Linked DNA regions of Struthio camelus. The protein of the gene in region 1 purifies or fractionates together with the protein of each later gene. This does not show direct contact. Links are inferred from orthologs where the notes say so. Each region holds a gene or a part of one and is shown on either strand. Other genes may lie near its edges.

Region 1 (6,871 bases):
CACGTCCCAAAGGGAGTATCACCAAACACAGAGGAAACCCACACCTGCTCCAGTCTCAGGTCTCCCCCGCAGTCTTTTAACTGAGCTCCACTCGCTTGCATGCTTAGGGAGCAGGATGAGGAGGGGGAAGGCAGAGTGATGGCTTCACGGCCATCTCTGCAAAGGCTGCACTCTCTGCAAAGACACTCACTAATGGGAGAAGGGGAAGGAAGCCAGTCCCTGTCCCAGGCAAGCTTTCACCTCGGAAGTGCAGAAACCAGGGATAATCTAGCGCCGTTTTCCTTTGTCACTGAAAACATCCTTTCTAGTTTCCTACACTGGAACTGAGATAAGAGAATGAATTGGACAGCAATTAAGAAAACATGTTGGCACTTTAATCTCCTTGTACCTAATGCCCAATGGGTTGTTTCAGTCTTGCCTGAAATTTTCTATTCCTCTTCCTCCACATAGGGACACTCTCTTGTTCCAACAGCTGATTACTGGAAAAGAAAATCCTGGAAGATAGCTTCAAGTCCATTGATTAGTTTTGGACCAGCCTTTCTGCACTACATCTTTTGCATTCACTTTGAATTTACTGATTGGTGAATGCGTACCGAGTTCAAGAAACTAAAGGAAGTCAAGCATTCCACAAATGGTTATTAGGTAAACCTCCTTGAGCATCTCTGCCTCCAAATCACAATTCTGACTTACCAAAAAAAAAAACCCCTCAAAAAACCAAAAAACCCACAAACAAAAGCTCAACCTCCTATCCCCCCACTCCCAAACACAGACTCACCAGAGGCAGACATGATGCCCCAGGGATACGGATTACAGCTATATGTCCTATGGTCAGGGAACCAGCTCAGTCTATCAGTTTACTGACTCAGTAAACCCTTCAGAGTTCACAGGCTCACAGGTCAAGAAGCCAAGTCAAAGAATGCTAATATATTAATTTACATTTTTTAAAAACCTTTTTTTTCCTCCTATCATCTCCCTACCCCAAGTCAAATACATCAAGGAATTCCAGTGGAAACTGACTGCCCTGTACCAAGCTGAGCGTCTGCACTATCGAGCAGGGCTATTATAACTAGCATTTCCTCTCCAGCTGACAAGGTATCCAGCAACAGCTCGTATTCTACACATATTTTCCTTTTCCTTCCTCTCAAAGGCAGTACCAACTGGGCCCATGAAATAGGTCCAGTTCAGAGCTGAGCTGTGTTGTCAGTTCCCTTTCATGAAGCAGTTTAAACTCTGCTCTTACCAGACATTAGCTTCTGCCTTCACGTGATTTTATAGCCTTTCTCCTCCGCTCTTACTTTCTTATATTTTCACTACGTGTCTTATGGACGGGAATTTCAAAAGGTTCGCCAAAAAAACCAAGCTGCTTACTGCAGCTACAAAATATAGCTAATTGTATCTGTTTCAATTCCTCTGTTAAGTTGTGCATGTGTATATATACTTGCATATATAGAGACACACATAGGTATATACACAGGCAAACACAGGAACTGTAATCACCATTCCCTTTTACATGCAAATGCAGCTTGGCATTCAAAATGAGAGAGAACCAAGTCCCAAATACGCGTCATTTGTACTAAAGTAAATCCAGCATAACACACACAAATCAGGACATTGCCGGGCAGATGAACCCAGTCAGACTGTCTGCTTTTATCTGATACCATTTCAGAAACGTTAACCATTTGCTCCTGTTCTGCTGCTCACTCATGTAAGAAGAGCTCCTTCACTGAAGTTCCTTCTCTGGTCTAAATTTACGGTTACTTTTAAACAAACCTTTAACAGCGTAACAAAAACACAGCACCCCTTTGCTTGCGTTCAAGACTGCAAATTAGTGAAAGAGACTCTCAGCTGCTGGGAACCAGCCCAGCAGCTCTTGCAGAGCCCTGCCAGCGCTGGGGCCGTGCGCACTCGCAGCAGCTGCTGCCACCACCCCGGGCAGCCACACCGCTTCCGACAGCTCCCTCAGGCAGCATGTTAGCTGCGCTGGGAACATCGTTTCCTCCTGGGCAAACTGAGTAAGGCGCTGGCAGTTAAAACATATGCCACAAAAAAAAAAAAAAAAAAGCTGTTTTCCCACCAGCGTTTTAGTGTGATTTTAGCATCTGCAAACACTTGATTAAAAGTAATGAGCTCTTCCCACAAGAAGACAGTTGGTAGCCAACACTTTTGAAGCATCAGGTGTCTTCTACCTCGTATTTCTCCATATAATTTTGAGGATGTGAACAATTTGAAATGCACTTTTTGAAGCAAGGACAGAAGAAAAATAAACATCTTTCATTTCACTGTCAACTGGCACACACACGAGCCCTGCGCAGAAGCGGAGGGATACAGTGGGTCCTTCCTAACTGCGACGGGCACTGCAACCCCGAAGGGTGACGTGGTGGGTCTGGAGCGCTCTTCAGCCTTAACGCACCCCCTTGACAGCACTGGCCACAAACCCTTCCTACCTTTGGCTACTTTTCCTACAAAGAGCTTCCGGATTTTCTCTTTCAAGTGAATCTCGGCAGATGCCAAGAACAGACCCACGGATTTACGAAACACCAGCCGCTGTAATGCCCACAGCGCTATGTGGGTTGCAAACACTCCCCTTCTCATGCGGTGGCACCAGCGCGAGGGCAGGTACACCGCAGCGCGTGGTACTCACCCCATCCTTCGCCTCTATGCCGGTGGCAGCAGCAACCTCAGCCCTTCCTCCAGCGATCTCCTGTAGCAGAGCAGCACCCAGGTGACCAGTGTCCTTCACCTGGAGATGAACAACAGGCCAACACACAGCCTAATTCTTCTCAAGAGACAGCTAGGACGTTCCCACCAGGCCCACAGCTGCAGGCCCCACGTGAGCCATCCCAGCTGGTGCCACTTCTCACAGCGGCGCTTGCTGGTGCAACGGCGGGGTAGCTCTCCTGCTGCACGGGGCCTCTGCGAGTTAAAACACCGAGAACTGCAGCTAGGGTGCAGTTTCCCGAGGCTTTGTGTCCCCTCACAGCTCTTCAAGTGCTCATGTAAAGAGTAAAAGAGGCTGAAAACCTGAAACCTATTTTATTGCTTGCTCCTGTGTACGTTCCCCAACCAATTAACGTTTGGCTGAAAAATCTTACGACTGCCTTCCCCCTTTTGCAATTCCAGCCTGGGAAGGCGACGGTTCCTACGCGCTTGATGATCTGTTCAAGCAGCGCAGTGGCACCCGTTACGGAGAATTGTGCCTCACAGCCTGACATGTACCCCTTCAAACCAGCCCACGTGGCTGGAAGAAGGACTCTCACCCCCATTTTCCAGACGGAGAAACGAGTCACAGTGAGGGAATAAGTAGTATAATCTAAATGCTTGGTGTGACTGGAGAAAAACTCTGGTGTGCAATGGGTTAGACTAAGCGTTCATAAAGGTCCCCCCTAGAGAGCAAACTAATGCCCTTTAAAGAAATTCTGTTTGCTGGACAACTAATTAAAAGTATTTCTCGAATGACCATACAGGCCCAGTTGTTTGGGTTTTTTCCTTAACTATTGCTCTGAACTTCTACCAGGGCAGCTGGAAACACCTGCCTTTTCATTGCATGAATTAGACCTTTGGTCACTCAGGAATGGCCATAAAAGGGGCCAAAGGTGTGCTACCGTAACAAGCAGAATAAAGTCTCAGAACTTAAAAAAGCACATGTCAAGTGGGTACATTTAAAAAATGTGATCCTGGCACAAAGCCTGGGTCTCCCTGACGTCCGGGGGCAGCTCTGCCATGTTCTTCAGCGCCACCAACACTTCACAGGTAGGTTGCAGAGGGACAAATCAAGTGAAACTACTCTTTAGTAAGACAAATACTTCCAAAACTAAGAGGACATCACGCGATCGTGGATGCACACCCTCGAAGCTGGTCTTTTGTTCCAGTGTCCGCTGATACATCCTGTCTAGGGTTTCACCAGAACGCTCTGCTGCTTGCAAGTGCCAATACCCATGTGTTCTGCTGAGTCCAAAGCTGGCGGTAGCGAAACCAAAGTTCAATATGTAACAGCGCTTTTATATGAATTCCTTGCTGTCCTTCAACAACGTTGCTATAAAAGCACTGTTTTTTTTTTTGTTTTGAACATCTTAGCTTTCTTACTGCTTTAAAACTTCACATATGACTTCATACTGCACTATATAAGCTGGTCTAGTATGCTGAAAATCATCCATCCTTAATCAGAGCCACAGTCAGCAGCTTTACAAATGACTTTCATTCCTTCATAAACGATCCTCTTCTAATATTGGAAAAACACAAGTAACTCGTTGAATTCACTCTGCTGATTTGCCACTTTATTCTGAACAGGATATGAATACTTCTACCACCTGGGCACTGAAAATTCATCAGCCATGTTGAATATTTTTATCCAAGAATGAGAAACCTGAACTTAGTTTATACATGCCTGGTAGATTAAAAAGTGCATTCATATTCATGCCTGATGTCTTTAGTACATATTTATATTACAACAGTTCCCAGTTAGTATTGTGCATCTGTTTATTTGGCTCATATAGGTAAGCAATCCAAAACAGATTATAATCTCAATAAACACGCCAAATGAAGAGTGGATAAATGGGTGTTTGCATGCGTAACTTGGACAAGTAACTTACCCAAAGCCACATCATGGATCAATAGCACAACCAGGCACAGAGCCCAGAATATACATATTCAAGTGCATACTGGACATGGTCCCTACATATATTTCTAAAATGACTGTTTATTTTAATGAGATGCAGTAAAATATTTCCTCAAAAAAAAAAAAAAGTTTCACGTTCTTAGTTCTAGTGCTTCATTTACCAGTGTCACACATGCATGAGTTACACAAACATAGATGGGGCCAGGAAAGCTTACTTCCATTTGTACTGTCAAGACAGCTTGATTTGTTTCTTCTCTAATGAACTTGGGAGAGCCTGTAAGAAGGAAAAGTACTAGCAAATATGAACATAACTTTATGAACAAAAGAAAAATTAGGAGTTGCAAGAAATAACGTTGGTCCTTCAGTCAGAGGTACTCCTTCTGAGTTCGCATCGGATGAATGCTGCAGTAGAATTTTAACTGTCGCATTACCACAGGATTTTCTGTTTCGAAATAGGTGTAAGGCATTCATGACTATTGCACCCACTGGCATAAAACACTACAGGACCACCACACTCCAGCATATCCAGAAAACCTATGGACGTTGCTGGAATCTACAGTACCTACCTACAGCTATAGGTACTTTACATGGGAGACGTTCAGTTAGCAATGACTGGCCGAATAACCTGAAGAAAGTCATCTACATCCAGAAAAATAGATATGCTTAGGTTGACATGGATATACTTTATCTCTGGTAACCACTTCTTCCATCATTTTTTTTAAATTTATTCTAGCTTTTAATACTATAATAACAGTTTGGGAAAGGGGGCAGGAATTTTAGTTTTATTTTGATTTAACTGGATATAGGAATTGTCACTTTCCTTCCTGAATTGTCAGCTACTTGCTGCTGTTGGACAGCTTCGTAGTTCATTCCAGCAGTTGGCGTATTGAGATTGCTACATAAAAATAAGTAAATCACTCTGAGACTCCGCAAAAGGAAAGACAGTCATTTAAACAAAGTAGGTATGAGACTGTATCATTTTAACTTTTTCCATGATGCACCAATTACTATTAAAAATACAATTTAGTTTGTGAGTTCCTAGAGGAGTATCTACTGTTGCATGGAGGCAATTCCAAAGGATTAGGATCCGCTAACATAGCCCTCATCTTCACCACAAGAAGAAAAAGTAGTATCAGTCATTTAGGAAGGCATCAAGCAGCATGCAGAACTAGCAGTTTTAACTGTAATGAAGCACAAAAATCCCAGTAGTAGATCGAGGCCCCTTAAACGCACCTTTTGCAAACACATACAGAGAGAAGCACTTCCCCAGGGAATGTACAATATAAGTACAGGAGCAGAGATCAAACAAGAGTTGCGCGAGCGGAAGAGCTGAAGGAGACTGTGGGCAACACGGACAAGACATCACAGCTTCATTCAGCTTGAGCCCTAGCTCTTCCATACCGCTTACAGACCCTCGGGGGGTTAATGCAGTCAACTTTCAGCTCCTCCAAAGAGACAAAACTACGGAAGTGAATGTCTGCTTGTGGATATTTTAAACAAAAAGGAAAACATATGGCCCTCTGGAGCTATGCTTGCTGCTGCTGCAGCTGGTATGTCACAGAGAACAGAGGGCCTAGGGCTGGAACTAAATGTAAAAGCTTTACTCCAGGAGCAACTAGAGAACAAACTGGGGAAAATGTTTCAATTTTAAAAGTAATCAGATTAACAAACCAGGAAAAACAAAGAGTTGAGACCACTCATGTACAGTTACCATAAAGAAATAAAAATAGGCACAAAATATTTTACCTGTAGTAAACAACAGCTTCTTACCTGTGTGAGGGATATTTTTGCAAACTATGAAAGAAAACCCGGAACAAATGACTAAAATCGGCATTTTATTTCCCAGATGTTATTTTGAGATTCTACACATAGAACAGTAACAAAAATTAAAACAGCAGAAGGGCTTTAGTTCAGAAAACTGCAAAGGCAGAAGATCAGTAATTTCATTTCATAAAACTAGAATTTCCATTAAAAGCCTACGTGGATTAAAACCACAGGTGCAACAAACCAAATAAGCTGCTGCTGATAGCCGTAATGTGCACCTTTAAGTTCACGTCTTGAGACATGATGGTAAATGTTTCACAGTAACAACTCATTCGGTAGGCTGGGCCCCAATTCAGAGCCAGTGTGTGCAGATGCAATCCCACTGACTGCGGAAATGGAGGAGGAGGAGGAGGAGGAGTGCCCGTGGCCTGCAGGGGCCTGTACTCCCCAGAGATAGCAAGGCCAGAAGAGATCATAAGAAGTCATCTAGTT
Region 2 (7,278 bases), on another chromosome or scaffold:
CAGAATGGCTGTAAAATCTCCATCTTTGGAGATGCTCAGAACTCAACTGGACAAAAGGCCCTGAGCAACCTGTTGACTTCAAAATCAGATCCAACTTTGAGGTGGGTCCTGGTTTGAGGGGGGGCAGAGAAGGTGGTGGACCAGGTGACTTCCCGAGGTCCCTTCCAACCAATTTTTCTATTTCTAATATACTAATTAAAAACAGGTTCCTGTGTTGGTGGTACTGCCATTCTTCTCCTCTTTCTTGTTAAATACATCACGGAGTACACTTTCTCAGCTTGTTGCACCAGTGTATACTGAGGGGTGGGAACTCATTCCATGATGGCGTTTTAAAAGCCATTTTCAATTCTAATTTGTCAGTAAAAAAATTAAAATATTTTGATTTTTGGAAGACAGTTTGAAAGTACCAAATTTTTTTTCCTACATCTGAGGTTAAAAATGACAAGGCCAAGTGTTTTCAAGTATCCTGCACTCATATATATATACACGTATAGAATGAATGGAGTACTTGTCTCTTACATCCCATTTTAGGCTTTCTGTTAGCGTATTTTTCATGCTTTCTCTCATTAATAGGGGTGATTAATCCAGTATGCTGTTTGACAACAAATCACCTACTAAAACTCTGTATCCATTGCACAGTAATGAAGTGGAGCAGATGCTTATACACAAAATAAGCATTTTTTTTCTTCCCAAGGCATTCTTTGTTTATATTAAGCTGTCCTGAATGGATGTACTGACTAGCCTTTATCCCGTATCTCAACGGTAAGAGGGGGGGGAAAAAAAAAAAAAACTTTCATGAAGGTACAGTAAATCTAAAGAATGGCTAGTAACTTGACTCAGTTGTTCATCTATGTAAAGCTCCAAACATGTAGCAGAAATTTATTAAACAGCAAAACACAATCACAGATTTTATAATGGTCATAAAATATTTGATCCTCTGTTTTATCACTGAATAATACTAGATGGAGAACTCACTAGTTATATGGTAAGTTTATGGATAAAATTCATTCTTGATTATTCATAGGCTTTTTTTGTATTTCTAGTTTTCTTTCAGCTATATATACCATTTGTGACACAGGATATGTAACCAAGATTTCAGTTTGCTGAGCTGATAAAACATTTCAAGTAATCCTAGAGGTATAGATAGATATATTTTTAAACTAAGCAGCTGTGCAGTAGGCAGTACTATTAATTATAAAAATGCTAAATGCTCAATTTAAGAGCACAGACTTCAGGTTTTAGGGACTTGTTGGAACGTTATCCAACTATTGTAGAAAGGTGGGAAAATTTTCCTTATAATCTGATGCTGACATTCCCTGAATGCATTTGTACTCCAGGTACGTCGTTATTCAGTATAGGCTATAACATAAGGTTGCGCATCAAGTTACTAACCAGCCCATTAGTAAAAATTTTTATAGACAAAGTGATGATTCAGCAATAAGAAGAAACTTTACTTACATTAAAAACTTGTAGGAGGCTTATGAAAAGTATTTGCAGTATTAGCTATTACTAGATGACATCAGAAGAATACATAGGAAATTGTATTATCGATTATGTACTTCTGAGCTCAGTTTTTAGATGAAATGAAATAAGGGGGTAAGGAATCGCAGATGCAGAAAACTAAACAAAGGAGGAATAAGAAGGGAAGGATGTCAGGTTACCACAATTGAAAAAATAGGTGTATATATACAGCCATGTCTTAACTGCTATGTCCCAAAGTGTATTCAAACAAGTTATAAATCTCATGTTAGTGTTCTGTTACTACGAACAAAACATTGATATCACTTAGCTCTCCATAACAAAAACCTGTTACTAGGTGAAATTACATGTCGTTGACATATTGTTTATTTCCTATAATATACCAAATTATTACCAAAAAAACATCTGGGGTGATGTGCTATTAGATTCCAAGTGACTATACCATTAGCATGTGGAAAGCCTGACAGGCTACTTTTTTTTTTCTTACTCTCAGCTGTCATAGCAATTCACTACTTGTTTTCAAGTCATGATTTTAAAACATTCTCATGGAGTAGCATAAACAGATTTTGAAGGATATATGACTCCTGAATTCATTCTGATCTTGAATAAATATCTGTGTTGTTCTGACATTATCCTTGCGACATCTAATGTTCTAACTCTCGTAGCTATCATTAAAATATAGTTGTGTAGTAAAATAACGTAGACAGCTTTCCCCAAAACTACTGGTTTTGTTTTGAAACATAAAGGGTTTAATTTGTGCAGAAATTACTGGTCAGTTTTATTTGATCCCCGATTTAAATGAAGTTTTTGGTTTTTTTCTCTCTCAGAAATCCTTTAGCCTTTAATCTCTCAATTCTGTATACAGCCAAATCTGACATTACTAAAGTGCTTTCCATTTTATTTCTTCTGTCTAGATCTGCCTTCTGCAGGTGACATATGCAAAGACCTGCAAGATGGTGACAGAGTAAATGTGTTGTTACTGTAAAATCACAGCAATGTTGGTCAGAAGGGAACTCTGGAGGTCATCTAGTCCAGCTTCCCACCTGAAACAAAGCGATGCAAAAGCCATGGCTAACTTGATCTGCTTTATCTAGCTGAGTCTTGACAGCCTATGGATGAGGACTCCACAGCCTCCCTGGGTGGCCTGTCATGCTGCTCTGCCACCCACCGAGTGAAGAGGTCTTCCTCAACATTCAGCCTATGCCTTCAGAGCTGTACCGTGCAGACAGTGCTCCTGGTTATCCCCTCCCTTAGTGTGCCTGTAGGGGAACGCCCAGCAGCTCAATCAGTTAGCATCTTCTTCACCTTAGGTAGCTGGTAGAAACATGATGTGACCTAAGAAATTATCTAATTCTGCACAGAAGAAAATGTTCACATCTCAGCAATCACTTGTCTCAATAGCTTCGTCTCAATTTTTATTGAAGAATGCAGTAACCTCCTTTACTGTAGTTTTTACTGGAGTCTTTCAAAAAGATAGTAACATTAAACTTTCTACTCTACCTTAAGTCCAGCGCTTGTAAATCTCTTTCAAACCCCCTAAAATAGAAATGCTGTTCATATAAATTGTTTAAATGTTTCCATGGTGTTTTGACTAAATACAAAGCCCAGGTGCATTATCCAGTAAAACTTACTAAAACTAGTGAAATGTGTAGTATATTATAAAAATGAATTACTTTTTCGAGCTTAATATCAGATATAGTCCACTTTAAGCTTACTGTTGTTAGATTTGCCAGAGCCCATTTCTCGGACTTTTTAGGCCCTCAATCACTATCCAGGATGAGTAGCATCTTGACTAAAGAGCTACCGAAGGTGTTAACTGTGCTAAGGTCCTGTTTTTAATACAGCTTAAAAAAGAAAAAGCACCTCTGATAATGATTTCTTAGACCGAAAAAACATTATTTTTCATCTGTTTTCTTGTCCCATGTCTATAAAGCAGTTCTCAATTCTTCCTAAAATACTCATTGAAAAAATTATTGTGAAAAGAGCAGTAAAGGAAATGAAAAGCCCAATTCTTCTGGGAGAGTTTGGTTATGAAACTTAGTTCTTGCTTGTGAATATAATACATAAGTTCCAGTTTCTGCACCCGTAAGATATTACAAGCTCAATGCAGTCCCACCTGCCCACTAGATTCTTCTGACCTTTGCCTTCCTGTATGTCATTTGTTTGAATGATGTGGCCAGGTAGCAAGTGCCCCAATCGGTAGACTATTTGGGGGGGGGAAAAAAATGTATATGCTACTGATGGGAACAAGTTGTGGTTAACTTTTTGCCTTTCTCTCTGAACTGTGGTCTTTGAGAGCAAAGGTGGCAAGTAAAACTTTTGAGTGTTACGTGTTCTGAGGTAGATTGAGACAGAGTAAAACCAATGGGAGAACAGACAAATCCTATTCCGTTTACTCACTTTTACTACGTTACTGCAAGCCGATAATATATTTTCCCTTACGTTAAGTCATGTTGTTTTGCTCCTTGTTCTTCATCTGTCTCTAGGAAACATCTGTTTCATAAAATCGCCAGTAGGGGTCAGGTCTCTGCCAACAGAAAACAGAGGCAAAATCTTGCAAGGCAACGTATAAAAGGAAATAAGAAGCTCGCAACTCATCTTGCGCGGGGCGAGTGAGATGATTGCCAGCGGGGCTCTAGCCAAACCTGCTTTATTTCGGGGCTCTTCGATGTAGTGAAGTTCACGGACCTGCGAGGCGGAGAGCGGGGGCCGGGAGCCGCGCAGCCTTCGCGCAGCGCATGGTTTCGCCCTGGCACCACTTTGCAGGCTGCGCGCTCCCCGTTTCTTCGCTAGTTTCCGCGAAGCGGTTTGATGCCAGCGGCTGACGCCAACCCGCCTTGGGATCATCGGCCTGCGCGGCGGCGGGCCGGGCCGGGCCGGGCCAGGCCGGGCCGGCGGCTCCTGCCGGCCGCGGTGAGTATCGGGGGCGCCCCGGGGCGCGGCCGCCGCCCGCCCGGCGGGGGCAGGAGCAGGAGCAGGGCTGGGGGGCGGCCCGGCCCGGCCCGGCCGCTGCCGGCCCTGGGGCAGGCCCGGGGTGGGGGGGGGAGCCCAGCCTGCGCGGGGGGCAGCGGGCCGGCCGCGCCGAGCGGAGCGGGGCAGCGCGGCGCGGCGCCCCGGCCCGCCGCCGCCGCCGCCTCGCGGGGCGCGGAGAGGAGCGGAGCCCGGCGGCGCCGAGGCGAAGCCGCAGCCACCGCTAGGGGCGCTGCGCGCGGGCTGGCAGGCCGGGGAAGGGATGCGGACGGGGCCATTCGCGCTGTGGGAGCGGGGGGGGAGCGCAGGCCCGGGCGCGGCGCGGGCGGCCCTGCGTAGGGGCCGGGAGCCGGCGGCGGCGGCGGCGGGCGAGGCCGGCGGAGGGCGAGGGGCGGCGGGTGGCGCGGCGGCGGGGCGGCGCGGTGGGGCGGCGGCGGGAGCGCGGCGGGGGGGGAGGCGGAGTGGTTGGGGCCGGCGGCGGCGGCGGCGGGGTCAGTTCTCTTTAGTGTTTGCCGATGTTGGAGGCGTCTCCAAAGTGTCCCCGGGAACCAGGTAACGGAGCCCGCGGCGGCGGCCCGGCGCCCCGCGGAGGCGGTGAGGGGAGGGCGCGGGACGGCGGGAGCCGAAGCGCCGGCGCCGGAGGGGGCTGCTTCGGCCATGATGTCCGAGTCGCCGTCCCGTTTCCCCCTCCTCCTCCTTCCTCCCTCCCTCGCTCGCTCCCTCCCTCCCCTCGCCTGCCGCCGGCGCGGCGGCCCCGCGGGGCGCTGGGGCCCGGGGCTGTTGGCGGCGCGGCGCGGCGCTGGCTGCCGGCCCCGCCCGCCCCTCGGCGCCCTCTCCCCCAGGCCGGGAAGGCGCCTTTGCGCCACAGCGCTGCCCACCCGCCCGGGTGTCGCTAGCTCCTGGCGGGGATGGAGGAGGAGGAGGGGGCGGCGGAGGAGGCACCGGCTCCGCCATGCGTCGCGGGGTCCCCGCCGCGGGGAGGGGGCGGGCGGTGGCCGCGGGGGGGGCCGCAGGTGAGCGGCCGTTGCGGCGGGTGGGCGGGAGAGGCGGCCCCGCCGCGGGGACCCCCCCCCGCCCCCCGTTCCTCCCTCCCCTCCACCTCCCCCGGGCCGCTGGCGCGGGGGCTGCGGCCGGCGGCCCTCCGCGCCGGGCCTGCTTCGCGCCTGAGAAGTAGTCGGCTGCGACCTGAACTCGGCTGCCTCTGCTCGGCCTGCCGCCCTCCCCTTGCCAGGGCGCTCTTGGAGCACCCCCCCACACACCGGGTTTTGGCACCCCGGTTTCGAAGAGCGCGGGTGGCAGTTGGCTGCCAGCAGGCGTCTGGTGATGGGTTTCAAAAATCCTCACCTTCAGTCAACGGCACGGACTCCTGTAGTTCGGTGGTTGCGTTTTTCTACCTTTTCTTGCTTGCCGTCGCTTTATTCGTCTTGCGCTTTGCCCAAACTTTGTCCAGGATGGTAAAGTTTGCCAGCAGGACGACACTCTCGTGCTCCCAAAATGGATGTCAACGTTTCTGCCGTGAAGCAGTTAACCGGCGTTCAGGGTGCATGGTGCTTTCAGGGTTGCTTCTGAGACGGGGTGAAACCCAGAGATAACGCGTTCTTTACTAAACGAGCTGGTTAGAGTTACGCGGACATTGGTTCGTGTTTTCCTGGTGTCCAGGTCCTCTGATTAAAGGGGGGGGGGAAATAAAAAAAGTGCACCTTGGTTGTAGGCAGGCCTAGAACTCACAGCCCAGCTCTCCCGGAGCAGCTTGGGTGCTCGCTGCGGACTGGGAGCAGGGGAAGCAGCAAAGCTGTTCGTCTGAAAGGTCGCGGGGTACTACCGTAAAAGTCAGTGATACCCAAGCAAAAAATTACCCTGAAGCGCATCTGCCTAATGTTGCCCTGTGGCCAACAAACGTGCGGCTACCAAGGCCCCGTTTGGAGCGTTCTTTTTGCAACTATTATAGTACTAAAAAATAAAAGTTTGTGTTATGCAAAAGAGTAGGAGGCACGTTACTATTGTAGCTCTTCTTTTGTGTTAAGCACTGTGTTGAACAGTACCTGAAAAAGGTGCATAAATAACCCAACATTGCAGGGTACAAGTAAGCTTGCCTTTGGTGTAAGTAGGTTTAGTTACGTTGTGCTTGTGTAAGTGGACGTACGTTGCTATGTCTTACTTACATTACTAATGTCATCAAGCTGTGCAAGAATAAAGTCGTCTTGAGCTGTGTAGTAACTCCAGGTTAGGAATCTACACCAGTGTAATAGCATTACTGTGTTTAAACCATTTTCTAAATATAGGCAAGACTTTTTTTTTTTCTGTACAGGTTTTGTTGTGACATTACTGCCTATAAACAGTGCTAGGCTGACAGCTTTCTGAATGAAATCTTTTTTCGAAGGAGCCAGCAGCAGAGTAAGATTTCCAGTACTGGTTCCCAGTCACTGAACATTGTTAGCTTTGCCCTGGAAGATCTGCTGCAGAGAGAGATTTCTGTTTGTCTGTGTGTTTGCTACGTTTCCTATCGCTGTCTACTGGGAACTGGATTAAGACTGCCTATTTGTTCCTAGCTCGCTTCTGAGGGGAGGGAGCAATTCAGAATTTTTTTCTTTTAAAGCGAACTTTTCAGTGACATTGCTCAGTTTGGTTTGCAGTTCAGGTTCAATTCAGTTTTGGGTTTGGAGGCCAAAGTCTTTATACGTCTTTTTGTCAGCCTAAGTTACCTAGCCTCCCAACAGTAATGTCAGAATAATAATGAATTAGAATAATCTTTTATCCTGCATTGTGTAAGTGGTTTGTAAAAGAATTTAGTAATTTTGTGTTCAGCAAAACTTAATCAGAGGTGCTTAA
Region 3 (7,221 bases), on another chromosome or scaffold:
TCTATTAACCCCCAAAAATCTGACAAGTAAAAACATCCTCAGGTCCAAAAAGAGAACAAATAAAATGACCTATAGTTTTGTATAAGGAAGAAAGAGGAGCATTAGATCGATCTCAGCAGCTCCTATCTTCCCTCAAATCCTCTTCCCTGGAGATGCAACAAACGAGCAACCACAACAAGCTATTAAACGTAAAACTCATCAAGATGTAGGTCCCCACTGTAATAAATCAATCTCAGAAGAATACTCTTAATGCCTCAAAAATTCACAAGAAGGAAAGCCTTGTGGCTCCATAATGCACATTTCATAAGGAGTTAGCCTAGGCACGTTTTACTGAGGAGGGAAGCAGGGGGAGAGAGAGAGAGAGAGAGAGAGAGAGAGAGAGAGAGAGAGAGAGAGAGAGAGAGAATCAGTCCACCTGGCAGTTCATTTTGGAGTACACCAAAACAATATTACTTTTTTCCTTTTTTAAATGTCATCAAGGGACTCTGATAAAGGCTCCTTCAAAGTATGCATATTAGTAAAAAAGCACACAGCTCTTGCCTAAACAAGAACTTAAAAAAAATCAGTAAAACTGACAAGGCTTCTTCAAAAGCAAGCGAGATTACCACATCAGAGAACCAGAATGACTAATGTCAGATCTTTGTCCCTGCAGATATTCAACGCTTGACTGGACATAGCCTCTATCAACCCGATCCAGACCGGCCCCGCTCTGAGCCGGGGCTTAGACCAGATGTTGTCCAGAGGTCCATTCCAACCTAAACTCTTCCGTGACTCTACAGGTGGGCAAATTTAACCACCCATGGACAAAGATTCCTTAGAGCAAAACAGAGGTCAAGCTCATGCAAGTCTCAAAGTGAGAAGTGCCACAGACGTGACAGAGGAGGCAGAGAAGCTTATCTTCATCATAGATTCTGCTCCAAAATCCTACCACCAAGCCCAATGGACAGGAAGCCTTGGATGTAAATACCTATATAGCACTGCAATTTTTTAGGCTAACCTCAGATGAGAGTTGATTTTTCCATATCTGTAATGGTATCCAAGGCCAGTAACAAAACTGATCAAAACAGGCTAGCTAACAGGACATCAGCTTACAACTTGAAGGCTCAGGACTTGCCCTTGTATACAGGTTCTTAAAGTAACTTTTACGATCTCTACAGGTTCAAGTGACGGGTAGAACAGACTTCCAACGAGACGCTGAGGACGCTCTACTCGCTAACCTGAAACGAACCTTTCGCTACTGCTGAACTCTCACCAGAAGAGCCTTGCATGGCCAATCCTCTGTACAGAAATCAGAGGGACGAGGCCAATCCCAGCAGCCTCTCCCACATGTTCCTCACGCGGCTGCCGGGGCTCCGGGTGATGTCACAGAACGCATCGACCCACCGCGGCAGAGCCGCAACACCAGACCGCGCTGTGAGCCGCTGGACCAGATCCACCAATGAAAACAGGTACTGCAGAAAAGTTAATTGAGGCCCGGAGATAAGGTACTCAAGCACCCTCTGAAAACGCCTGTTAGAGAAAGTGCTATCTGAGAAACAACGTATAAAAAGGAAAACAAATCAGTTCACTATCTTTCTTAGCCACCACCTGAACCGGCTCTTTAAACAGTAATTTGGTGTGCATCAGCATTTACCTTAAAAGTAAGCGAATTTGCATCTGCACGTGATGAATACAATAGTCAAAGACTACGTGACTCTGAACTACAGGCAAAGGACAGCAAGGCTTCTGGAAAGCAAACGGAACTCAAATCCCAAAGAATTCAGAAACTATAGAGAGAAAATTAAAAAAAAAAAACAACCTTACACGAGAACCAGCTATTTTAGAATGGAAAAAAGTAGTAGCGTAAGTCATAGCCCAGAACCAGGAAGCACCAGCGCAAAACCAGGCATAGCCTTCTAAACCAGGTGCGCTCTTCACGCCTCAGAGGCGAGGCGAAGGCAAGCATCAGAAGGCAAAACCAAAGCACGTTTTCAGCTGCTTCCTTTTAAAAAAGTCGCAACGGCTCCTTTTGGACAGCAGGAACGCGTTCCCCCTTCCGATGCCTAGACTCCGCGCCTCTCCCCGCGCAGCTGAAGGGCTCATGCCCCGCGAGACCATCCTCCACCAGACGCACGAGTAGGAGAAGCTACGTTAACAAAAGCTTTCCACGTTTGCGCTCGACCGGGGCAGCCGGGCTACCTGCTCAAAGGCCAGCCCCGATCCCCCCCCGCCCGCAGAAGGCGATCAAGCCAGGCGACGAGCTGCCCCCGTCCCGCTCCCGGAGCGGGCGGAACCGGGCTCCGCCGGCCTCGCTCCACCGCGCAGCCTTTGGGGCGGGGTCTCCGCTGTCGCTCCCGGCCACGCGCGGCGAGGGCTCCGGCCGCACGGCCGCGACCTTGAGGCCGAGGGCCCCCGAGCGCCCGTTACCGGGGGGACCCCGCGCTCCCGGCAACAAAGCGCCGCCGCCGCACAGGCCCGCGGCGGCCCTTTTACCTGCGGCGGCGGAGCCGGCCGGCTCCTCTCCCTTGCCGCGCATCCCGGCGCCCGCTCGAGGCGGCGGCGGCGGCGCTGCCCGGCCCGGCCCGGCCGCAGCGCGAAGAGGCCGGTGGCGGCGGCTGCCAGGCGCGGAGGGGAGGGGAGGGGGGGGCGGGGAAGGGCCGTGCGGCGCGCACACGCCGCCTCCTCCCAGCCGCCGGCAGCGGGGCTCGCTCCTCCCTTCCGCTGCGTGCGCGGCCCGCCGAGCGCAGCACCGGCCCCGCCGCCGCCGCCGCCGCCGCCGCTTCCCCCCTCCCCCGGCTCACCCTTCACCATGGCGCCCTCCTCCTCCTCCTCTTCGGCGCCCGGCTCCTCCGGCCGCGCCTCGTCGGCGCACTCCGGCAACCGGGTGCAGAGGCCGCGCGCCTCCGGCGCCGCCCGGTAGCGGCGGCAGAGGCGCAGCGGCGCCGACGAGCCGCAGGCCGCGGCCGCCTGCAGCAGCAGCCCCAGCGCCGCCATCTTGCGGCACTGCCCGGCGCCGGCTTCGGGCAGGGGCGCCGACGACAACGACGCGGCCGGGCGGGGCGCCGGCAAGAAGGAGCCGCCCACGCCGCCGCGCGCCACAGCGCCCCCCAGCGCGCGGCAGGCGCGGAGGACCGGCGCGGAGGACCGGCGCGGCGGGGCCCCCCCCCCCCCCGTCCCCACCGGGGGGAAGGCAGGGAGGCGGGGGGGAGGGGGGGGCGTCACGGTAATTTTGGGGGAGTTTGGGCACGGCCGGAGGCGGGCACCGGGGCGGCACGGCCCAAACCCCCATCCCGCACCCGGGGGGGGGCTGTGAGACAGCACCGAGAAGGAGGAGGAGGAGGAAGAGATGGAGGAGGAAGGAGAGGGAAGAGGAGGATGAAGAGGGGGGGGGAGAAATCGCTTTCTGGGGGCCCCGGACCTCCGAGGAGGCTCCTCTGCCGCCTCTCCGGCCAGGCTGGCGGAGCACCACGGCTACCCCGGCAGAAGGGCCTTTTCTTCCTCTTCCTCCCGGCGGCCGCGCTCGCCTCATCCCGCCGTCCCACCCCGAGGAAGGCGGTTTTCCTCCCTCTCCGGCGGGCGCGTTGCAAAGGGAAGCAGTACAGCAAACGCAAGCCTTTGCCCAAACACCAGATAGTTCAGGCAACGCACATCTAGACGGTCTCAAAGGATGGGTATCTTGCAGGACTCGTGGAGGCCTGTGAAAGGGGAGGTCTTCGTACGCGCTCAAACTTTACCGCGACCGTGAGTCGCTGGCTCAGAAATCAGGGCAACCTGGTGCTGAAACCGCAAACAGAAGCCACGGGCCATTCCTCCAGATACGGATTTTGTTTGTACCATCGTTACTAACCTTCGCTAATCAGAGGGAAAAATGCAGATGCAATTTTTACTATGCTTTTCATAGCGCTTGGATACCCTCAGCTTCACTCCTGCGCACATAAATGTCTTGCACGTTTACAGGCAAAGCAACCTTTCGGTGTTTTAATGTAAGCAACTGCAAAAGCAACGGGAAATTCAGAAACCACCTGGAACCTGAAAGTCGTGAAGGGTTTCTTATTCGTTCTCAACTACACATTCAACCCCCTAGACGCACACGGACTACATTTTGCATTCAAGCGTATCTGTAACAAACCATAAAGTCCATTCGCAGCGTATTTGAGATAAACACCAATAATTTTAAAATAATTTACACTGCTAGACACTGTTTTGCCTTTTTACACATTTCCCCCTTACTTAAAATAGACTCCTGTTCTTTCCTTCTATGTGAATGACTAGATGTCTCGAGCAAAGTTCTCAGTGCTGGAGTGAATTTCAAACACTACAGGGAAATGTTATTAAAAAAAAAATCAACTATTTTTAAGCAATTAAAATATACTAACAACGCACGCCTCAGACTAGCATTAAGCTGTGAGGACGTGATTGTTATGTTAAATAACCTATTATTCAGTGAATAGCTTGTGTGTAAGCCAAAATTTTACATGAACGGTTGCTTAAACATCATGATGAAAGAGTAAGATTTTTTTTTAAATATCAGAAAGAGAAGTCTCCAATAAACCACAAAAAGATTAACTGGCATAATTAGGTAAGTTCTGTGAAGCCTCTATTCCACAAGAAGAGCTTTGAGAAGTGAAAAGTTAGCAAACAAAACCCTACATAGGCAAAAAATCTTTGGAAGCAAACACATGCACAAACACGTGAAAAAAATCTTACTGCACAAATATCATTTGCTTTTTCACTATACACGCTTGTTAGAACCTCTGTGAATAAGCTAGTGATTTGTCTCCGTACAGTTTTTTTTAACTCAAAAACAGATCTTCAAGCAGCACCAGAAAAACCACAAGACAAATGTAGACATGTCTCTGAGAAAGACGTGAAAATTATTCTGCTACTTAATTGACAAAGGCTTTGATTACAAATATTAAGAGCACCACTACACTAAAAAGAAAAACAATCTTGCTAGACAAGTCGCCAATTTAAGGAAATCAATTGTATGTAAATCTTTGATTGTATGTTGCATGCACTCTTACTTTCAAAAAAAAAAAACCCTATTGGTTCGTAAACAAAAGCTTCAAAGAGGGCTAAAATGAAAGCGTGGCTGGAGATACTAGGTAAATGTCAATATGCACTTCTGGAAAGATGAATCTACTGTGAAACTACTTAACTCAATACAGTAACTTGTTTATTTAGCATTTTCTCAAGACCGAGAGGAGGTAAGAAAGCTGTCCATCAGTGCAACTCACAGCTACTAAGCTGTTTCAAGTTGTGAACATCAGTGAAGAAACAGAAGTGATAACAAGAACTTGAAGATGATGAAAAACATGGCTGTAGAGCACAACGATTAGAAGCAAAACAAACAAAAGGAGATAAATAGAGCACACATCTCTGGAAAACTCTTGGAAACACACAGTCAACGGGAAGGAGGAATCTGGGAGAAGATGCTGAAAGTCAGCGTGGTGATGCATGCAAAGTTAGACATGAGTAGGGCTAGCAGTTTGTCACCATAAATCATACAAAAATTATCTTATGATCAAAGAAAAAAATAGTTAAGACTCAACTTATTAAAAAATTCCAGAAGTCACAGGTGGCATAATTTTAATCCAAATATATTTATTTTGCAGTGATGAGACTTAAACAGCATATAAATAATAGCTTAAGGCCACTTTCCCAGGCTTTGCCAGTTCAGGCTTACTTCGGTGAGCAGTGGTTCACTCATTTTTACCCAAGCCTTTGCAAAGGCAGCAGCGCTACACAGAAGCCTATTAACAAGCTACGGTAGCTTAAAGACTTCCTCTCCTCCCAAAGCAGACGTGGTACAGCACCCAAAGTCCCGAACCCAGTCTGGCTGTGACAAACCACTAGCCCTCACAGGAAAAGTGCCTGCACTCTCCCAGGCTCCCATCCAGGTCACGTTTTAATTGGCAGGTCAGAGGCTTTTTGCTTCCAACTAAGATTGCTCTACACATGATTGACACCCTGGACATACAAAGCACGACGGCTTTTTTTGCATTTTTTAAAATGCGGTCCCCACAAGTCCTGGTGACTCGCTTTATTAGCATGGCAGCATTACAAGAATGGCTGGTGCACTGTTGTGCTCCCCAAGCGCTGAAGTACAAGCGTTACTTTGCCAAGAAGGGAGGTAGCGATCCCTCACTGACTCAGCCATATCTGGAATATTTCATTCAGTTCGAGGCACCTTATTTTAAGGCCAAGTTACAGAGTTCAGAAAAGGATGTCAAAAAACAAAAACAAAACAAAATACCAATGGCCAGTGACTGGAGGGACTTACTAAAAAAATCTAAGAAGTTCTAAATAAAGATGTTGGCAAAGCAATGACAGGAAAAGAGGACATGATAACAGTTGACAAATATTTGAAGTATGCAAACACTAAGGGGAAAGCACTTACTGAAGTGGTACAAAAGGATATAGCTATGTGTGGGAGGATGAAATTAAAAGGAGGAAAAGAAGAAAAACTTACAGAAGACTACTTAAAGCTAAACAATAGGGAGCAAATCTACCTTGTCGTTAAGTTAGACTGGATGATAGGACGAGTCTTTTCCCCTTTCTGCACTTGGTTGTTTCCCTGAAATTCTCTCTTGTACTCAATGTAACAATACTTTCATGTAACACTTTTTCACCTGGGAGGCTAACCAAGACAGAATTGAATTACACCGATTGTAACAACTACAGCTTTATACCTAAAGGGCAAATTTTGAATGCAGGGTTCCCCTTGGAGATAAGAAACGTCTCACAAACATAGAAGTTGGCACTGTACGTTACATAGCTATCACCAGTGCAGGTATAGTCATATTTATATCCACTTCCTTTTTGTCTCTAATACATTGAGAGGGAAGTCTGACAAATGAAGACAGTCGTAGGACAAACCTCTCATTTATGCAGCACAGAAACAGACAGTGCTATTTCTCACAAATCAGTTTTCTGCATCAAGCTGCTACAGCATTAAATCTCTGGACAAAGAAAAAATAGTAGTTGATTTGAAGATTCTCTCAGGTCCTTACCTTTAAGGGAATCCAACGAGAACATCTCCATTACAGCGAAAAGCTTTGATTCCTAGGAAAGCAAGAGGTAGCAAAAAGAAACAGGAAGTTAGAATTAGTATTTCCTTTGAGATGTTTAAAGCATTTAGTATTTCTGAAACTAACTGTCTTTAGCACCAGATAAAGCTGATAGCTCTCAATCACACTTCAGCTTGGGTGTTCATATCCTGCCAAGTTTCATTTGAATCCT
Region 4 (7,974 bases), on another chromosome or scaffold:
TGATGTTGTTCCTGCTGGTGAAGCTACCGTCATCTCCTGTGGTTCGGGAGGAATAGAGGAAGGTGGAAAATCTGACTCTGGCGTGGGATCTGCTGTTTTCGTTACTGCATTGGCCTTCAACCTCATCTGCATCCGTTCGCGCTTCCTCTCTGTAAGAGACCATCGTGGGGGGCTTGTGTTCTGTTTGTGGACATCTCCCAGCTTTTCCAGAGCACCAAGAAAGGCATTAACATCCTTGGCCCTCGAAAACCCAATGTTTTTGGCAAGGTTGAGTGCTGTTGTGTCTGCTACACTGAACAAATAGTTGCAGATTTTATCCTTAGTCTCAGCCATTATGGGATCAATGTCTCCTGAGCCACCTGCTCTGCTTTCTTCTCCTTTGATCTCAAAAGTTGGAGCTGTATGACAAACCCTGTGGTCAGCAGGGCTTCTTTCTCTCCCTGCAACTGGGTAGGCAATCCTCCACAGCGGCGGCGTTTCTTCACCTTTGTGCAGCTTGCCTTCTCTGAGCAGTTTATACAAAACACGATTGACTTCTTTCTTTTGAGTTTTAAGTTTACGTACAAGATCATAAACTGTACAAGTCTTCCCCTTCCCAAGCTGCCTGAAAATAGTCAGAATTTCTTCTTCACGACTTTGCCCAGCAAGAGATAGTCTCTGGAAATTCAGCCTGATGGTGTCAGAATCTCCTTCTGAGTTCTGACAGCGGTACTGAGGAGGGCAGTAACGTGGTAAAGTTCCTACACACTGGCTCTTTTTGGAGGCTCTAGGCCATCTTGTTTCGTTGCAGCTGACTTGCCATCTCTCTGTAGAAACCAGTGCCACAGCTTGCAAGCCTCCGGCGTGTGGTTCACAGAGCAACCTCTGTCCCTGAAGTAAGTAGACAGGAGCTTCAGTGACCTGGCCTGTTAGGAATTGCCTCTGCTGGTTTAGAAAGATGTCCCGTTTATTTCCTTGTGGGGCAAGAGGCGGGTTAGAAAAACCTTGATTAGCGCTGGACCAGTTACGTCTTGAATGGGTAGAATACGAGCCCTTGCCTCGACCGATGCCTCTGTTCATAGCGCACTGCTGGAATGCAAGGATGAATCGGGCTGCTTGCACACCAGAAGAAGGGTGGCCGTGATTCACTCTTCACTCTCAACTCCTGAAGAGAGGCCTGCTAGAAAGAAAAAGCAGGAATTCAGAACCTGTACACGTGATTACAGGAGTCTAGAAATGCAATTTAGCCAGCTCCCTTGCTACCAAGGCATTTCAACCACCTTCACCTCTTCAATATTTTCCTTCCTTCTAGCAAGTCTAATTTGTTCATACGAACACAAACGGCAAACTATGTGTCTGCCCAGCATAAACGCAAGCCATCAGGAATCACAGGTGAACTTAACTACAAGAAACAGCTTTAATAAGAGACGCTAACCCTTCATTCTTGTTGGGCTGAATTTCAAGCCAACTGCACAGAGATGATTTTATTTGTCTTTTCATGATGCCTTCTGTCTAAGAGTCACAATGCGCTTCCAAAGTACGAGGGAGTTTTATGTCTCAGCCCTCAGAGAAGCAAGAATCACAGATACACTTTGCATATAGAGAAAGAGAGGCACAAGGACATGAAGCAGCGTGCAGGCACACGGAAGGGAACAGGGCTGCAACAGGCTCAGAAACGATGTCAGACTCACGACTGAAAGTCTGAAACCCCAAATGTCCTTTCCTTCCTGGACAGCGTGTGACCTATGAAGTCTCACACAATGGGACAAGTAAAGTGATAACATACAGAGAAATTGGATAGGTTTCCAATTGGTAACGGCATGAAAAGTCTTTCAGGAGCATAAACCAAATTTTCTCACATCGCTGACAGGCGTGCCATCCCCCAGAACTACAGGGGATGGGGTATAAGCTTAATGTGCTTTAAAAAAAAAAAAAAACACACACAGGATATGTTCTAGCCCTTCAGCAACAATTGAATATGAAACTCAGCGGACACAAACATGCATCTGATACCTTCTTCTAGGCATCCTATCCTACCTTTTTCCAGGTGACCTGTTTAAGTCACCTATCTTCATAAAGAGATTACCGTGATAATGTAAGAGGAGCTTCGCAGCCAGATGCTAAGTGCGATCGATAGGTGGAAGGTAAGAGAACCAACAGTCAAACGGCCAAAACGAGGAGAGAAACAAGGCAGGCTGCAAGCCAACTAGTTACCTCCTGAAAACGACCGAACACTGGAGCAGCCCAAATGCCTGTAAAGGCTACTCTGCGCGCAGAACCAAACAAAGCTCAAGGCCAGGCTCCAGTCTCACCACCCCCACTGCTTTTACTCATCCAAGCGGCGGAGCTGCCACGGGCGCAGGAAGTGAGGAAATTAGGAAGCAGCACCCAGGCCCTCCCCACGGAGCTAAGCTTAAAAGCAACCCCCCGGGCCACCCAGGACACCGAAAACCGCAGGGGCAGCGAACGGGGGTTTTCACGACCGCTCTTACCTCCCTTCGGTCCATTTATTTTGTTAGAAAACGGGGAGGGGGGGGAAGCCCAGGCCCTGCAGAGCGGCCCTCGGCGGGGCAGCAGGCAGCCGGGCACCGCCGCGAGCGCGGTTTCGGTTTCGGTTCCGGCCGGGGCCCGCGGCCGAGGCTCCGCCTCCAGGCGGGCAGCCCCGGTAAGCTCGTCGCCGAGCAGCCGCCCGCCCCGGTACCGCCCGCCCGCCCACCCCGCCGGGCCCGCGGCGGCAACGCGGCCTCCCCACCCGGCCCGGTCCGACCCGGCCCGGTGCGGCCGCCCCGCCCGCTCCTCGGCACCCTGGAGCCGCCTCGGCTGCTCCGGCCGGGCCTCGGCACCCTGGAGCGGCCCCGGCCGGGCGCCGCCGCCCCCACCGGGCTCCCCCCTCCCCCCGCACCGGGGCCGCCCCTTACCCCCTACGGCCGCCGCCACCGCTGCTGTCCCGTACTCGGCGCAGGCTGATGACGCGCCCGCGCCTGCGCGCCGCGCCCCCTCCTGGGCAGCGCGCGGCGGCCATCTTTGGGAAGGGCAGCTGCCCGCCCTTGGGCCGCGCATGCGCCCTCTCCCGCCGCCGCCGCCGCCGCCCCCCGCGGCGACCGATCGGGTCCCGCTGCCGGTTCGCCGGGTTCGTGGGAAACCGGGCAGAGGCCGAACTCGTTTCCGTAGCAACGTGCTGCGGGACCGCGCAAAGCGCCGGCCGCCGCGTCCCGGCGGCCCCGCCGCCTCCTCTCGCCGGCAGCCCCGACGGCCCCGGGGAGCCGCCCGCCGCCGGGCCGCGGCTGGGTCCGTTCGCACCGGGCCGGGGCGGGGGGAGGATAACGGATGTGCGGGGGTAGGAAACAGGGATCCGTTTACCCCTTCGCCTGCAGCATCGCCGGCAGCCCGTCGGGGAGGGCAGAGCCGTCGGGGGGCCTCGCTCCTGCCCCCCCCCCCACCCGGTACCGGCCCCGCCGAGCCGAGCGAAGCCCCTTTCGGAGCCGCCCGCTCCCCGCGCGGTGGCGGCATCCGCTCAGGCACCGGCCGGTGCCCGCTTGCTTTGCCCCGCTCCCCCCCCCCCCCCCCGGCAAGCGAAACGGGACGAAACAACCCGCAGCCCCCGGCCGCCGGCGCCAGCCCAGCCCTGGCTCTGCGCCGCTGTGCAGCAGGCGCGCTGAAACGCCGCTTCCTCGCTCCCGAGCCAGCCTCCCCCTACAAGGCAGAGCCCAGCCGCCCGCTTGCTTGCAAGGGGGACGTTTGGTCACTCTCCTAAATCAGCCGCCTGCCTTTTTTTTTTTTTTTTTTTCTCAGCGGCGCGCAGCCCTGGGAGCGGTGCGCGTTGTTAGCTCTGCTTCGGCGCTGCTGAGACAGGAGGTACAAGTAGTTTTTGGCCTTTTTGCAAAAGTGCCCGTGAAGCCCTCCAGGCTTCTGTTATGTAGAGCGAGGAACTGGGCCGAAGTCGCTGACCGGGTTCCTGCGTCCTCCAAAACGGGCAGCGTTGCCCCTCCGTTGGGCCCGTCTGGCTGCAGGTGCAAAGCTGCGAACCAGCGCGGAAAACCTCCAGCACTCCTGTGCCTTCCGTTTGCCTTTAAATTTTTCTTTCCCCAAGTATTTTTATTATAGCTATAAACACTGCGACGGTAACTCGATGGGCCCATCCAGGAGCGTGTTTATGGCGACACATTTTTAAACATGAGCTTGGGGCAATTAATCAGCCTGAAGAACTATTATTAGTGCATGCTTGTTATACCATCGCGGGGCACACACCGAGCTCTGCGCGGATGAGCCGATGCATGCCACCGGCCCGAGCACGCATGAGCGAGCCTGTCCGGCCGTGTTCAGGGTAGCTTGGGCATGGAAATATTTTTTCCGTATTTTCCTCAAATACAGAAAACGCTGCCTCGTCCCGAGGCTGGGGCGCTGCTCCCAGTGCATCCTCACCAGGGCTCGAGTCCGGGCACCGGGGGAAGGTGCTGGTTCCTGCGAAGGCAGCTTTGCCGCCCGGAGCCTGCTCCTGTCCCCGAGGGCTGGCTCCCAGGCGGGGAAAGCAGCAGCGCTATCCAGGGCATTGCATAAGCTTTGCCTTTGGAGGTGCCTCGCTGCTCAGCGGCGGACTGAACCTGAGCTTTGATAACGCCAAAGCAGCTGCCACGTCTGTTCTCTAGGGAAACGTCAGCAGCAATTACTCATGAGAGCTCAAGGTGCGGAGAGGAGGGGAGACGGGGGAACTCCCTGCCTCCTCCCGCAGCGCCGCTGTCCCTGCGCTGCTCGGCCCCCCGCGCGTCGGCGGGCTCCTGCTCCAAGGACCCGGCGACGTTCCCACGCGGGAGCAAACGTGCTCCGTGCTGGGTGGCTTCGCAGCGCAGCGCGGAAAGGCAGGTGCGGGCGGCAGCACAGCTGTGCCGGGAGAAGGAGCCGGATCCGACTCCCACGGCAGCTGCGGCGGTGGGGAGCGCCATGGCAAAAGGCAGCGCGCCGCTTCGAAGAGGGGCGGCCGAAGCGCTGTGCAGGCGATGCCACGCGAGCGCAGCGCGCAGCCGCCCGCACCCTTCGCTCTCGGACGCTCGTGGTCCCGTCCGTCAGGTTTTTATAGGCATGGCAGCGGCTGCGAGGCAAGACCTGCCCTGCAGCGCTCCGGCCAGGCCCGGTGCCGGCGTTGCTGGGGCTGCTCCAGCTCGGAGCCGGGCTCGGGACGGAGCCGCCTCAGCAAAGCACCACTTGGCCTTTGCTCCTTTGCAGCCGTGCGCGTCGCAGGCTTTGGCATTTCTCCGCGGCTTGGCTCGCCAGCCGCTCCAGCCCCGCCAGGCTCTTCCTTATAAAGCTGTCGTCTGCTGGGCAGTGGCTGGGCGAAGTGCATGCGCCTGCCGGGTGTCGGACGGGGCTCCTGGGCCGAGCGCCCGGCGTCTCTAGCTGCGCTTGTTCTGGGAGGGGGATCAGAGGGGAGGAGCAGCTTGTTGTCAGCCCGCTCTGAATTAGTGCGCCTGATGCAGCAGCTCCCAGAGAGCGAATCGGTTAATGAACCCTCCCGAATCCCGGAGTCCAGCGAGCATCCCCCCGGCGTCCGCCCGCTCTGCTCCGCATCCCTCGCTCAGTCTTCACCACCCAGCGCAAGTTCCCCCTTTGCCCTCGGCCGCTCCCTTTCATATTTAAGATGAAATCTGGTTTGTCTGGGAGAAGGGCTGTATCGGGCGCTCTGATAAACGCGAAGGATTTCAGCATCCCTCCGGAGCGGGGAAAGCAGCGCCTGCCGTGCGGCTGCCCGGGGAGGTCGGGGGCTGCGGGCAGCGCTCCCCTGCCTGCTGCCCTGCCGCCCCTCACCGCGGAGGGCGCGATGCCGGCGCCTCGTCTTTATCCACCTCACTTGCGTCGTTTGCCTCAGAGCTCAGCCTCCCTGCTGCCCCACCACCTTCTCCAAGGTCAGCACGCCACAAGCTTCAGGAGCTGCTTGGAGAGGCGGCGGGAGAGACAACCCGCTGCTCTCCACCCCCCCACTCCCCCCTTTTTTCCCTTTTCCCCCCGCAGCTCTGGAGCACAGACTGCATCACGGGTCGTCTAGCGAGGGAAAGACTGGCGCAGCCGGGTCTCCGAAGGGCTTCCTCGCATGTAGGACTGCTTTGTGCCTCCCACGGGATCCCATTACACCTTCTTCGCTGCTTAGTCTTTATTCACTGTAGAATATTTTTTCACACCGTGCAAACCAACAGACGGAGCCAAGAGCTGTGGATCAGTGACATGCGTAGAGGGAGAGGCAGGAGGGCGGCTGGAGGGGATGATGGATGGCAGAGGAGAGAGCTGTTTGCAAATCTCAGGGACATATACAGTGCTTTAATTGGTTGGTCGGCACAGATTTCCTCACAAACAGCATTTTTTAATCTTAAAGAAAGCAAGAAACTGGAACGTATCTTGTTTCTTTCATGACTTCCCTAGAGGCAGCAGCAGCACACTAAGGAAAAAGAGAAGGAGGAGGAAAAAATAGTCAGAGGCACCAGGTGGCTGAATATCTCGCAGCCTAATTGATTCCTCTTTAATTAGTACAAAACCTGTTGCTCTCCAAAACATTCAGTGCAAGCTTTGGAGCGGGCAGCGTCCTCCCCGGCCCTGCGGCGGCTTTGCTTGGCGCAGCCGCCGAGGGAGAGGAGCAGCAGGGAGCAGGGCAGGGCTGGCAGTGCCTCTTGGGCGCCTGGAAGCGGGGCTCATGTTCAGCTTCTGCAGCCTTGCTCCACGCAGCGAGAGCGGAAGGAGCCACCGGCCGGCCCCGTCAGCCCCAGGCCGGCGTCGCACGTGCCCGGAGCCGCCCCGGAGGGCTGCGATGCGGCCGTGCGGGGGGTCCCTGCGGAGGGTCCTGCCTCCGTGCCTAGGCCTGACCTCATCTGGAAACTGCTCACGAGGTAGCACCCAAAATGCAGTTGTAATGGAAAAGAGTTTAACTTTGTATTTCCCACGTTCTGACCAAAGGGAAAAGCAGCTGCTGGGTTGTGTCCTGGCTGCTCACAACTTTCCCAAATGCCCCCATGCGTTTGGGGTTGCTTGCAGTTTCCCGGGGAAGCAGCTTTACGTCTCCTGGATGCCGCTGCGGCGATGCCGGCCGGGTCCTTCGTTCCCATGCTGCAATCGCTGCCCCACGGCGTGCGGGTGCTGCAGGGTCGGCAGTGGGGCAGGGACCTGGCTGTCCCCTACAGACAGCTTTAAGCACAGACACCGACGTACAAAAGAAGATATTTAACACTGCAAGCAATAGCTTCCTCTTTGGTGCATTAGTGGAAGGGGTGATGCTCATGAAAAGCCCCGAGTCTCATTTTCAGTGAAGTTACTTTCCCTGTTTCTCTTTTTCCTCTTGACTTTCAAAAGGATGTTCAAGCACTTGCATGGTTTTAAAAACAGGCTATGCGTTGGCAAGGGCTGCTCTGCACTCGGCTGGTGCCGCTTTCGCTCCCCTGGGCTAGGTGGTGGCTTTGTAAAGCACGCTGAAACTCAACCCCTGCAAACACCTGGCCAGACCTTGAGCACTTCTGAAAAGAAAAAAACAAACAAAAAAAAACAACAACAAGAAGAAGCCATTTTATGGTTTTGATTCTTTGGTGTTTCTGATCTGTGTAATCGCTCCCCTCGGCGCAGAGTGGGCGTGAGTGCTGCATTGTCACCGAGCGGCTTCTCGGCAGCAGTTCCAGGAAGCAGACTCAGCTCCTCGGCCTGGGCCTCCTCCTTCGTCTAAATATTATCGCAGAAGAGGCGATAGCTTGCTCGGAGGTTTTGCAGCAAAGCCCCCGCCGCTGGCCGGTTCGCGATGGTTGCCATTGCTTCAGCATGGTGCTTGTTGCCCAGCAGGAAATTCAGAAATGCCCGTTTAGGTGGGAAGCTGTAATTTACCGCTGTGTTTTACAGCTTACCCCTGCGGAGCAGCCCTTCTCGCCGCGCGAGTGCCAGGCCAACCGGCTGCGCCAAGTCGATCTAGCTCTTTCATTCGGACAGCCACAAAGGGACGTGAACGCCATCAATACAGGCCTGGCGTCTTTG

What was found.
Region 2: the proteins of EIF2AK2 (region 1) and STAU2 purify together in Homo sapiens (affinity purification with mass spectrometry; 3 studies listed by BioGRID and IntAct, with this or other methods). This does not show direct contact. The link is inferred for Struthio camelus from reciprocal best matches to the Homo sapiens genes EIF2AK2 and STAU2.
Region 3: the proteins of EIF2AK2 (region 1) and DHX30 purify together in Homo sapiens (affinity purification with mass spectrometry; 3 studies listed by BioGRID and IntAct, with this or other methods). This does not show direct contact. The link is inferred for Struthio camelus from reciprocal best matches to the Homo sapiens genes EIF2AK2 and DHX30.
Region 4: the proteins of EIF2AK2 (region 1) and ADAR purify together in Homo sapiens (affinity purification with mass spectrometry; 3 studies listed by BioGRID and IntAct, with this or other methods). This does not show direct contact. The link is inferred for Struthio camelus from reciprocal best matches to the Homo sapiens genes EIF2AK2 and ADAR.

What each region holds. Positions count from the first base shown.
Region 1 is NC_090944.1:102,478,184-102,485,054, forward strand, and holds the start of EIF2AK2 (interferon-induced, double-stranded RNA-activated protein kinase), read right to left. Parts: upstream 3,001-6,871; 5' UTR 2,642-3,000; intron 1-2,641.
Region 2 is NC_090943.1:129,431,791-129,439,068, forward strand, and holds the start of STAU2 (double-stranded RNA-binding protein Staufen homolog 2), read left to right. Parts: upstream 1-4,253; 5' UTR 4,254-4,392; intron 4,393-4,865; exon of another isoform or gene 4,866-5,001; intron 5,002-7,278. UniProt on the Homo sapiens protein: RNA-binding protein required for the microtubule-dependent transport of neuronal RNA from the cell body to the dendrite.
Region 3 is NC_090943.1:1,212,932-1,220,152, forward strand, and holds the start of DHX30 (ATP-dependent RNA helicase DHX30), read right to left. Parts: upstream 3,001-7,221; 5' UTR 2,974-3,000; coding exon 2,781-2,973; intron 1-2,780.
Region 4 is NC_090971.1:4,355,753-4,363,726, reverse strand, and holds the start of ADAR (double-stranded RNA-specific adenosine deaminase), read right to left. Parts: upstream 3,007-7,974; 5' UTR 2,898-3,006; intron 2,622-2,897; exon of another isoform or gene 2,472-2,621; intron 1,160-2,471; exon of another isoform or gene 1,157-1,159; 5' UTR 1,060-1,156; coding exon 1-1,059. UniProt on the Homo sapiens protein: Catalyzes the hydrolytic deamination of adenosine to inosine in double-stranded RNA (dsRNA) referred to as A-to-I RNA editing.